Linked DNA regions of Drosophila melanogaster. The protein of the gene in region 1 interacts with the protein of each later gene in a pairwise test. Each region holds a gene or a part of one and is shown in the gene's direction. Other genes may lie near its edges. The genes, in order: slou, CG31740 and aspr.

The links.
Region 2: the proteins of slou (region 1) and CG31740 interact in a two-hybrid assay, tested with the Drosophila melanogaster proteins (one large-scale study listed by BioGRID).
Region 3: the proteins of slou (region 1) and aspr interact in a two-hybrid assay, tested with the Drosophila melanogaster proteins (one large-scale study listed by BioGRID).

Annotation. Positions count from the first base shown.
Region 1 is NT_033777.3:21,555,147-21,558,903, reverse strand, and holds the start of slou (slouch), read left to right. Parts: upstream 1-1,721; 5' UTR 1,722-2,045; coding exon 2,046-3,272; intron 3,273-3,757. UniProt on the Drosophila melanogaster protein: May play a role in specifying the identity of particular somatic muscles and neurons of the CNS.
Region 2 is NT_033779.5:18,006,796-18,010,194, forward strand, and holds CG31740 (uncharacterized protein), read left to right. Parts: upstream 1-2,157; 5' UTR 2,158-2,303; intron 2,304-2,439; 5' UTR 2,440-2,512; coding exon 2,513-2,698; 3' UTR 2,699-2,899; downstream 2,900-3,399. Other genes in the region: CG5693 (uncharacterized protein), read left to right, coding at 1-206; CG42659 (uncharacterized protein), read left to right, coding at 773-922; CG42634 (uncharacterized protein), read left to right, coding at 1,199-1,543; CG42635 (uncharacterized protein), read left to right, coding at 1,633-2,031.
Region 3 is NC_004354.4:20,146,381-20,150,137, forward strand, and holds the start of aspr (asperous), read left to right. Parts: upstream 1-1,743; 5' UTR 1,744-1,878; coding exon 1,879-1,881; intron 1,882-3,681; coding exon 3,682-3,757.

The DNA of each region.
Region 1 (3,757 bases):
CGTGTTCCGTATACGTCGGCTGTTTGAGCGCACTTAAATAATGAATAATGACGAGACAAGCAATTAAAATAATTTGCGGTTTTACCGTGCGTATGCGCATCATTTAATTTTGCATGTAAAGAGTTAAGCACTTATTACACAGCGAGAAACGGGCCCAGCCAAAGGATGATGTCCCACTGTCGTGGATGAGCAACCGAGTGTGATAATGCGCTGAGTGCGGAGTATAGTATATACGAGATTCCGCCATCAATGGGCCAATTAAAATGAGTGCCCGACGCTCTGGTGTTGGTGGCCAGCATCTTAAAACTAATTAAAACGAAAAACGGCATAACAAGCTGCTCATTAAGCATCCGAGTTCCCTTCGCCACCCCGATCTGCGGTTAATTATAGAAGGAAGAAGACGAGCCTTGCTAACGAGCGGCGAAGTGAAGCCAGTGGATATATAGAAGCAGTAGCTAACACCCAACATTCCAGCGTTGGAGTTCATTAAGCAGCGCCCGGTGTCCATTTAACGATGTCACTTATACGCCCCATTGTCCCCACAACCAAAAACGAATCAGAAGAAAAACCCCCAGAGCCGAGTGGCCTATCCCCAGTGAACCAGGCATCCAGCTATCCATTCATTCACCCCTCGACCACCCAGCCCGCCCCACTGAAGGCCACTGCTGCGATGCGTATAAACCGCAAATTGGATGCGATATTAAATCGTCTGTGCCAAAGCGCATATAAATTTTTGTTCAATTTTAAAGAATTTTCCGAGAGCGAGCAGGCGCAGGAGTAAGAGAGAAAGAAGCCCGACGAAAGAGAGAGAGAGAGAGTGCGAGCAGAAGAGCACGGCTATAGTGTGGCTGTCCCCCTCGAACGCTTTGAGTTTTACATAGGAAGTGTCAAGGAGAAAAACCACAAGGATGTGTTTTTTTTTCGTTCGAATAATAAAAGAGAAAGAAATCAAAAGCGAAAAGTAAATAAACCAACTAATTAGCAACATAATTACGGCCACGAAAATATTCAAAAATTCAATTAAGCTGAAGAAAGCACAAAGCATTCATGCATAAATGACTAAGAACAAACCAGGCATGCCAAAAGCAAAGCAAACTCAACACACAACTGGCGAAAATATGAAACAGAAAAACATATAGTACAAATAAATAAAAACAAGAACTGAGAGAAATGTGCAAAAAGTTGAGATCCATTTCGCAAGCACCCAACCGCATAAACAAACAAATTTTGCGCTAAATAATTTGACAATTACTCACATCCTCGGGAGGCGAAGGCTGCACGGATGGCTGGACAGCTGGCTGGCTAGCTGCGTGGCTGTATGGCTGGCCTTTGTTTCCATCGGGTGGCTATTACAGTTGAGTGAAGAACTATGTAAAACAGCACTCCGGAATCCTCTCCTCTCCTCTCCTCTCCTCTTCTCACGCGCTCGCATCCTGCCGCTCTGTGGCTTAGACTTGCGACAGACCATTACATTTGCTAACGAGTGGAAGGCAAATTAAATCATTAGATGCTAGTAGAGATTAGAGCCACGGCGGGGAGGAGCCAATCCACTCAAAGAACCACTCAGCGGTGGGCGTGTAGAGCGCCGCACAGAGAGTCACTCAAAGCAAAAACCACCACCATACCACGATAACTGCCTCCACCACCACCACCACCACCACCATAACCAGCACTACCACCAGAAGCAGAAGCAGCAGCAGCAGCAGCATCAGCATTTAGCTATTGACTTGCCACAGGCACACAACACGGCACATCTGTTGGATTAAGAACTCGGAGAAATCGGAAACAACCCTCATCATTACGCTTCTGGCTCTTGAGCGTGTGAGTCGTCGCGCGCGGATTACGACCAGGATAATCGGACGTCGGACGACGACGGCAGCAGCGGCAGCATAGGCAGCGTCCACGTCGGATATTGGCATCTCCGGATTCAGTCGATTGGCTGCCCTCAAGGTGACAAGACACGCAACGCGCAGTGAACACTCAGTGAACTCGAACTCTCAGTGAACGCCCAGTGAATCCAAGACAATATATCCAAAGACCCAAAAATGGTCATGTTGCAATCGCCGGCGCAAAAGGCCAGCGATAGTGCGTCAGCCCAAAACACAGCCGTCGGTGGCCTGATGAGTCCCAACTCGAACCCGGACTCGCCCAAGTCCAACACCTCGCCGGATGTGGCGAGTGCGGACAGTGTGGTGTCCGGCACAGGCGGTGGCAGCACTCCGCCAGCGGCCAAGATACCCAAGTTCATCATCAGCGCCAATGGCGCAGCGGTGGCGGGAAAACAGGAGCAGGAGCTGAGGTACTCCCTCGAACGGCTCAAGCAGATGAGCAGTGAATCGGGCAGCTTGCTCAGCCGCTTGAGCCCCTTGCAGGAGGACTCCCAGGATAAGGAGAAGCCCAATCACAACAACAATAACAGTCTAACTAATCACAATGCAAACAGCAATACACGTCGCTCGCAATCCCCTCCAGCATCGGTGGGATCCGTAAGCTTCTCCTCGCCAGCCCAGCAGCGAAAGCTCCTGGAACTGAATGCTGTGCGCCACTTGGCAAGGCCGGAGCCACTGCAGCATCCTCATGCGGCCCTGCTGCAGCAGCATCCCCACTTGCTGCAGAATCCGCAGTTCCTGGCCGCCGCCCAGCAGCACATGCACCATCATCAGCATCAGCATCACCAGCATCCCGCACATCCGCATTCGCATCAGCATCCGCATCCACACCCTCATCCGCATCCCCATCCGCATCCGTCGGCGGTCTTTCATTTGAGGGCTCCCAGCAGCAGCAGCACTGCCCCACCCTCGCCGGCCACCTCGCCCCTGTCGCCGCCCACATCCCCGGCCATGCATTCCGACCAGCAGATGAGTCCACCCATCGCTCCCCCCCAAAATCCGCCACATTCCTCGCAGCCACCACAACAGCAGCAGGTTGCCGCACCATCGGACATGGATCTCGAGCGGATTAAGCTGGTGGCTGCGGTGGCAGCCCGCACCACTCAAGCTTCCAGCACCTCCGCCTTGGCGTCCGCCTCGAACTCCGTGTCCAATGCCAGCATCTCCATCTCCAACTCCAGCTCCGGATCGCCCAGTGGACGCGACTTGAGCGACTACGGATTCCGAATACAGCTGGGTGGCCTGGCGGCGGCGGCAGCTGCTGCGGCGGCCACCTCGCGTCAAATTGCAGCAGCCACATACGCGAGGAGCGACACCAGCGAGGAGCTCAACGTCGATGGCAACGACGAGGACAGCAACGATGGATCGCACAGCACGCCGTCGGTAAGATAACTAGATTTCAGTGCACTAAGTGCAAGGATTTCGTAAAATCATATAGAAAAAGTTTAGATTAAATGTTTTGTGATTTTAATATTAAGGTGTGCCAATTATACAAAATGGATTTATTAAAATACTGGTTCTAAAATGAAGGCTGTTAGTGAAAATTTGAAAACTTAAATAGCAAATTTATTATTAATGTTGATATTTATTGCCCACACAATTGGTAGCTTTTATTAGCGTTGGCTAATACAAATTGATTTTATGTTCTGCTCAATTAGCTTTTTTATTAGATTTTGCGTTCGAGTAATTAACCCAATTAACACTTGGTCGAGAAAATATGCCAAAATTAACCTTTTTGTATGTTTATAGCTCGATTTTGAGATTTTCATTTTGTTTTTAAGCGTGTGGTATGTTGAGGAATTTGATTTATATCTATAGATTTTTATTTATAATTGGTATACTTTTCCAAATATATTTTTTATATTTTA
Region 2 (3,399 bases), on another chromosome or scaffold:
TTAATCCGGGCTACATTGGACCCGATCCGCCCTGCTGTGACCCCGATTGCTTGGAGGAGGGCCACTGCACGGTTCCGGAGTGCGGAGTTTGCCCGGAGTCCCAACTACCCCGATGCAATCCCGCCCCACAATCCAACAAGGACGCGGCGAAGCAACCACTGGACCAGAAAGCCCAAAAAGAACCGAAGCTCCGGGAACAGAAGTAGTGGGGAAAAAGGCAAAGCTGCAAAAATGAACCAGGAGTCCTTTGGAGATGTGCTGAACACACAACCTTGTTGTGTGTTGCTAATATCTTCAAACATCTTGAGCTAAACCCATTTAGCTCATCATCTCCTGGGCATCGAACCGTCATATTGTAACATTATATTTCAAAAAAATTAATAATAATAATAAATAAATAAAATGAATATCTATAAATAATAAAAACAATAATAATATATATTAACCTCAAATTACCAGCTCTTTTCTATTTTAGCACAAAATAACTGTGGATAAAAAATACAGATAAAATTAATTCATTTTCTTATGATCTATCTAAAATGAAGTCAAATAAATTTAAACCAGCATTCTTGATTTAAATGTCAACAAAATAACACATAAGCGTACATACGCATTTTCTTCATTCAAATTTCAAGCACGAAACGTGTTGTTCTGGTCAAACATTTGTTTAAATTTCTCATTTTTCTCTTCCATTTCCGGTGAGTTTCGAAAGAGAAAATGTGGGAGATGTATTTATAAAATAAGATTTGCAGACTTCTTTCGAGTGCTGAAAATGGTTTACTTAAGTCGTCCTTGGACTCCGGCCATAAACCCTTTCTACATTGGCCCCTATCCGAGATGCGCAGTATGTCCGTGCAACTTCGACATTTACAAAGGATACACCCCCGGTGGCTGGCACAGTCGTTGCTATAGCAGCTATTGACGAGACGAGTACCTGTATAAAATGCAAGAATAACGGCGGGAACAAATATAGTTGAACTTTGAAACTGCACACCAATTAGCCTCGCACACATCTATGTAGAGAAATAATAAAATTGATTCATCGTCACCAAACTGTTGAATATTGCTGGGGAAATAATATAAATATTCCAATCGAAATGGCTTAGATTTCAAATTAGAACTCCTGGGAATTTTAGTTTATCAGGTCGCAAATTGTGTGAAAATAGTTTTCTAAATTCAAAATTCAAGTCTCTTGGTCATGTCCTCGTCTGTGGATCACGTGGTACACCACGTACTGGCCCCAATGGCAATCAACGTCCTCGATCGCGTGGTGCCAGTAATCCGCCAATTGGTGATCATCATGCATCAGGCATTTCTGGTTGATCACCATGTGTCGGAGCCCGTGATCGATGTATCCGGCATGATTCAGCCCGTTCGTAAAATAGTCTTGATTGTAAACGATTCAACGCCGGAGCACCATGTCGACCAGGAGCAGGTGGTCAGTTCGGATGACATTAACTACCTGATAAATGAAATTTCGCGAAGTATCCGAAACTTGGCCCGTTCGACCTATAATACCATCTCGGCGATGGCTGGAGAGTAGCCCTAGAATTATTTGTCATCGTGGTCGATCGAAAAATCCGACATCGACCCTCCTGATCCTCCAGAAGATCCTGCTCCTTTGCCCAAGATATGGAAATGGTTCACACGGCCATCGGAGTTGCGGGCATAGTGGCCCTGTTTATGGTAGTTTCCCGTTCGTTAACTGAAGTGGGTGGCAGGGTGTTAAACCAAACCCGTGATCCGATCGCTGACCTTGTGAGGCGCGGTGGTCCAGTGGCGGATCAGCTGTCCGCCGTCGAGGGCGAAACTCCTCTAGTAGAGGGCGATCGCATGGATGGCGCCTGCTCCGTGGTACAAAGTATTGGAGGCAAGGCATGTGCCTTTGTAGGACCATTGCTTCCTAAGTTTGGCAGTGAACATAATTCCGAGGGCTCCTCCAAGGAAGACGAAAAGGATAAAAAGGACTCGGAACCGGTAGTAGTAAAACCTGAAACACCGCCAGCGGCAGAATTAACCGAAGAGGAGTAGGATCTAGTCAGCAACTATGTCGAATAGAAAGCAAAAAAAAGGAAATTTTTAGTTTTCTCTAGTTGGCCTTGGAAATAAACTTCACTCATCTTGTGGGCTTTGTGGGATTCGAAACCTAGAGAGCTCATTCATTTTGAACAGCTTGGACTGAACACATCTCTTTCGTAAAATAAAACACAAAAAAAAACAATATGAAAAATTGAACAAAAATTCTAAATTCGTAGCCAAGGATTAACTTCAACGTATTTCTTCAGCAGGAAAAAAAATCCCAGGTACGTTCTAGTTCGTTAAAATTGAATAAAAAAGTTATACAATTTAAAAATTGTAAAATTGCTTTGTTCCCTATAGTAATTTTTAAATATTTGGTAATGTTTTGTTAATAACAAACCCCGTTTTGAATGGTTGCAGCCGTACCTTTTGAGCCCCTCCTGCAGATTTTAGAAGAGATTCCAGTGTCCTTTACCAAATCCAAACTTTCAAGATGGTTCTGATGCTTTGCTGCAGCTTCGATCCCTTCTACGTTGGACCCTGCCCACCCGGCTGCCTGGCTCCTTTGATGGGAGGAACTCCCTATTGCGGATGTGGTCCCTGTGGAGGTTGCTGTAGTCCTTGCTGTGGTCCATGTGGTCCTTGTGGTGGCTGCAGCTCGTGTCCTTGCGGCTGGTGAAGCGCCCGCTATCATAGGCATTAATACGGCAGCAAGCGGTAACAAGTCAATTTAAAGATCAACCTTCTGGAAAAGACTGCTGGAGAAATATGTTGCTGTTCGAATTCCTTTTTGCCTTGGCCGGGGCTAAACCAACTAAGCTCTCGTATACATAAAGAATTTTTATTATAAGCTGTTCAGTAATAAAATGAATTAAAGTACAAAAGGAACTGCTTTGTGATATATCTCAACACCGAATAGATCCAACCTGGCAAGTGGATTACGTCAATGTAAACGTGGATGGCCAGCCTCCAGTTAAGGATGCAAATGTTGTCCTAGGTCTTGCCTAGAACAGCTGTTTGGGGCATCAGGTTTATTGCGCAGTCGCGATTCGAACGCGCAACTCGAACAAAAACATAGAATGTAGAGCATTGTGTCAGGTCAAAGGTTGTTGGGGTAGGGATGGAACACCCCCTTCTATTATTCAATCTTTGAATGAAAATGAAACTGAATCTCCAATGCCTCCTGATGCCATGTTGTGTTTTGGATAAGCGCGATTTACAGGGCCGTGTCTGAGGTGTCCCTGAGTTTTTCTGAGGTGGTGATTCCACTTCATTTACATTCATGTGTGTGTGTGAGCTGGCCATTTCACTCTTATTTTGGCATCACTTGCTTTGTTTTTCCGCGGAATTTATTGCGGTAGGTCGGAATTTTCATTGCTT
Region 3 (3,757 bases), on another chromosome or scaffold:
TTATGGCCAATTGGCGTACGTTTCAATTTGCAGTTTAATCTGTAATATTCCCATATCGATTCGATTTGCGGAGCTTAAGCGATGCCATTCAATGATGCCATTTCATTTGAAAATGGTAGTCGATTGCAAATTGGCAAATGGTCATTATCTTATTGCTATAGGTCAAACCATCTCTATTATTCATTCTAACCAATGCCCACGCAGCCAGCAGAAGTCAAGATTCTCGTTTTAATTGGCTCGATTCCAGTGCAGATTCGTTTGTTCTTAATCCGTTCTTTTTGATATCGAATGAAAGTGGAGCCGGTCTTGCTAAGCTTATATTTTAAACTCGAATGCCATTGAAATGGACTTAGGAAACGGTAGAGTGAGTTAGTGAAGATGTTCAATGAAATACCCAATTGGCTTATTGTGTGGTATGAGTGAATCGGAATACCTCAAGCTAATCAAGAATATTTACGGCCTCTCAGTTTTTTTTTTTTTTCAAATTTTATTTTCTTTCATTTATGTATATTCTCTTTTCGCTTACTATTTGAACGGAAATGGGCGATTTTTTGTTCTCCTCAATTTCCGACATATTTCAGATTGAAAAATATGTAAATTCGTGAAATTAATTAAATTTTGTAATGCGATTATCTACATATATCTTATGCCCAATTAAGAAGAAATAGAAAGAAGAAAAAACCTTAGCGAAATGACCATATTGAATATTTCCCCCAGTTAGTAGTAATAGGCATCCGGTGCGGATAAGATACATTCTGTTTGAAGAATCGGTATAAATTATAGTATAATAGATTTGTAAATTTAAATGACATAACTGTCTTTTAAATCCTACAAAGATAAAGAGTCGCTTAGTTTTGGATGCTTTCAGAAATATGTGTGTACATATATTACCAGGTACCGCCTAGTACTAGCGACCTGCCCATTGTGTCAAGTGGGCAATTTCTTCGTTCACAGCCAAGTTGCCTACGATCCGGAGCCGTGTTTAGTAGGAAGCCCAGCCAAGTTCGACCCACGGCACTTGGATGCAGCGGCCCACGCAGAAATCGAGCCATCATAGCAAAGGCATGACCAAAACAATCCGAAGCAAAGTCGCGTCAAGTACGCGTATATAAATAGCCCGATGCCCAGGCAAATATATGTATATATATGTATATGTATGTGTGTACGAATGACTCAGTCTGAGAAGCGATTTGGACTGAAATGATTTTAGCTAAAATCGAGCAGCACAATATACAAAGTCAACAAACAGCAAAACAAGCTTGTCAAACAGAGTTATGAGACAGAATGCTGGTGCATTGGGAAAAATAGTTTTCCAACTGACAGGCTGAACAAATATATATAACTAAATTAACTACTTCATCAATTTGATCTACTGCTTTCGTTACTCGAAATGTTTCTAGTTTAGCAAGTTGAACTTATGCAGACATAATGGTAAATTAGTTATAAAACTAATGAATTTGGTAAATTCCGATCTTTATTTTGTTAAAATTACAACAACTATTGGATGCTACTACCTGAGGAGAGATAATTTACTTTACAAATCTTTAATATCAAGCTATACTATAGTTTTTTCTCTGTGTAAGTGGAAGGGTTGTGGATGCGGGGTAGAGGGGAATTCGGGAAGGGAAGGTGAGCAGATCAGAGCAGAGCAGAGCAGCTGAGAGATGACGCCAACGTCGCTCAGCTGTTTCTCGGCCAAGTTAAGAGTTGCGGCCTTATAAATAGCCCAAGCTCGTCTAGAAGCCGACTCAGTTGAAAGCGAAGCGTGCCAAGTGGGAAATCGCAACCATTTATCAGTTGACACTTTTTGTTTTGTTTTTTATTTTACGTTCTTTATCTGCTGTAGTGCTAGTGTTTTCTAAGAACTGAACCCCGAAAATGGTGAGTTGCAGTGGGAATAACCAAAATCAATATGTATATATAAACGTGTGTTAAGGAATATATCCTTTTTTTTTTTTAAATCATCTAAACTGAAGCAATCTATCAACGATGGATAATTTATAAACAATTTTATAAAAGTAATAAAAATGGGTTCGATTTAAGGAAAGAATCTGAATCACGAATAAGTATATAGATTTAAACTTGCACATTTATTTGCTGTTTATTTTCTTCACCGCGAAAACTTAAGTGAAAAAATTACGCACAAAGGCAATACATAAAATATGCATTCAGTAAATGATACGTGAATGGAATATTGATGTACTTAAAGCAAACACGACAAAAAAAATATTCATTTCACAATGTAAGGACTTAACTTTGCTATTTGCTATTTACTTCCGGCTAGATGAATAGTGGTGAATGGATTTGCAAATACATCGAATGAACCAAGAAATATTCCCACATACTCGTAATGTTTCTGAAGCCCACGATCGGTTTATTCTTTTGAGTGTCTTCGATCTGCCTTTTATCTGCCCATTTTTTTGTTTTTTTTGGCGATGATCAATCACTCAACGCTTTTTAAGCTGCCCAAGTAAACATCAAGCCCATTATTCATTTGTTTGTGCACAAAGCCAAAAACACAAACCAATTAGTTTCTAGCACTTTAGCATAGCTTGTTATTTTAATTGCCATTACGAGAAGAGTAAAAAGTCCAATAGATTTGAATTGTTTACCTTTTTACCTACTTATGTTGAGCACTTAACATTTTCTTGCTCATTATTTAAATTTAGAAAGCATTAATTTAATCTAAACTCTGACAGGTTTTACGTTTTATTTAACTAATTCAAGATTGAACAGATTATATAGTTGACTATTTAGTTCTCGCCCTTCCAAAAGCAATTATTTAAATGTACATATGTATGTACATATATAATATAACAAATATGGCTCTGATTCACTTCACTTCCCTTGCGCAATGTAATCAGATTATAAATCACCCTGCAAGATGTGTGATTTAAGAAAAAAATCCAATTTCCTCCCTCGGTGGATCCATCCGTGCCATTTACGCGATGATCGACAACTTAGTTGATACGAACATGGACTACCATATTGGTCATTCAGAGTAATTCGAAAAGGCAGCCGACCCCCATTTGCATATTCTTATTGTATGCCGATATTTGAATAATTGTTTTTAGCCCGAATTGAGCTTCCAAAGAAGCGGACAACAAGTTTATCACCCATGTGTCATTCGCCAACAATGATCGCCACCTTGAGAGCGAAGCCATATCATCATCTCGATCGTCTCGTCTCGTCTCGTCTCATCTCCATGCCCAGTTAGCCCAAACATGGTGCCACCAGAATCCCACTGACCACTGAGAGTCCAAGTCCAAGCCAATGTTTGCTACCAAACAGCGGATCATCGAGTTAGTCATGTTTATTGGGCTTTTTCAGAACTCGAATGCGATTATGACACATAAACCGGCAAAGGGGGCGTGATACTCGCTTCTCGATTGAGATGTTTGTTCATATCGAATACTTTAGTGAATGAATCCCAATCCAGTTCAAACTCATTTCATTCGACTGGCTCTACGATTGACGCAGAATATGACATTTATCTTTGTATTACCGTTGTCTTTTATTTAGTTTCGTTACTAATGAGAACTAGTGAATGCACTCCATTTGGAGTTACTTCAAGTTAGTATTCAAATATATTCAAATATTATATTCATCTTAGATCGGTATCGTATTGAATTTAAATTCAAGTGATAGCAGCACTAATCGCAGCTGATCCTTCTCTTGCAGCAGCAGCTCCTGGTCGTGGCCCTGGTGGCGGTGGCCATCGCGTCCTTGCCCCAACTGGCCGCAGGTAAAAAGCTGG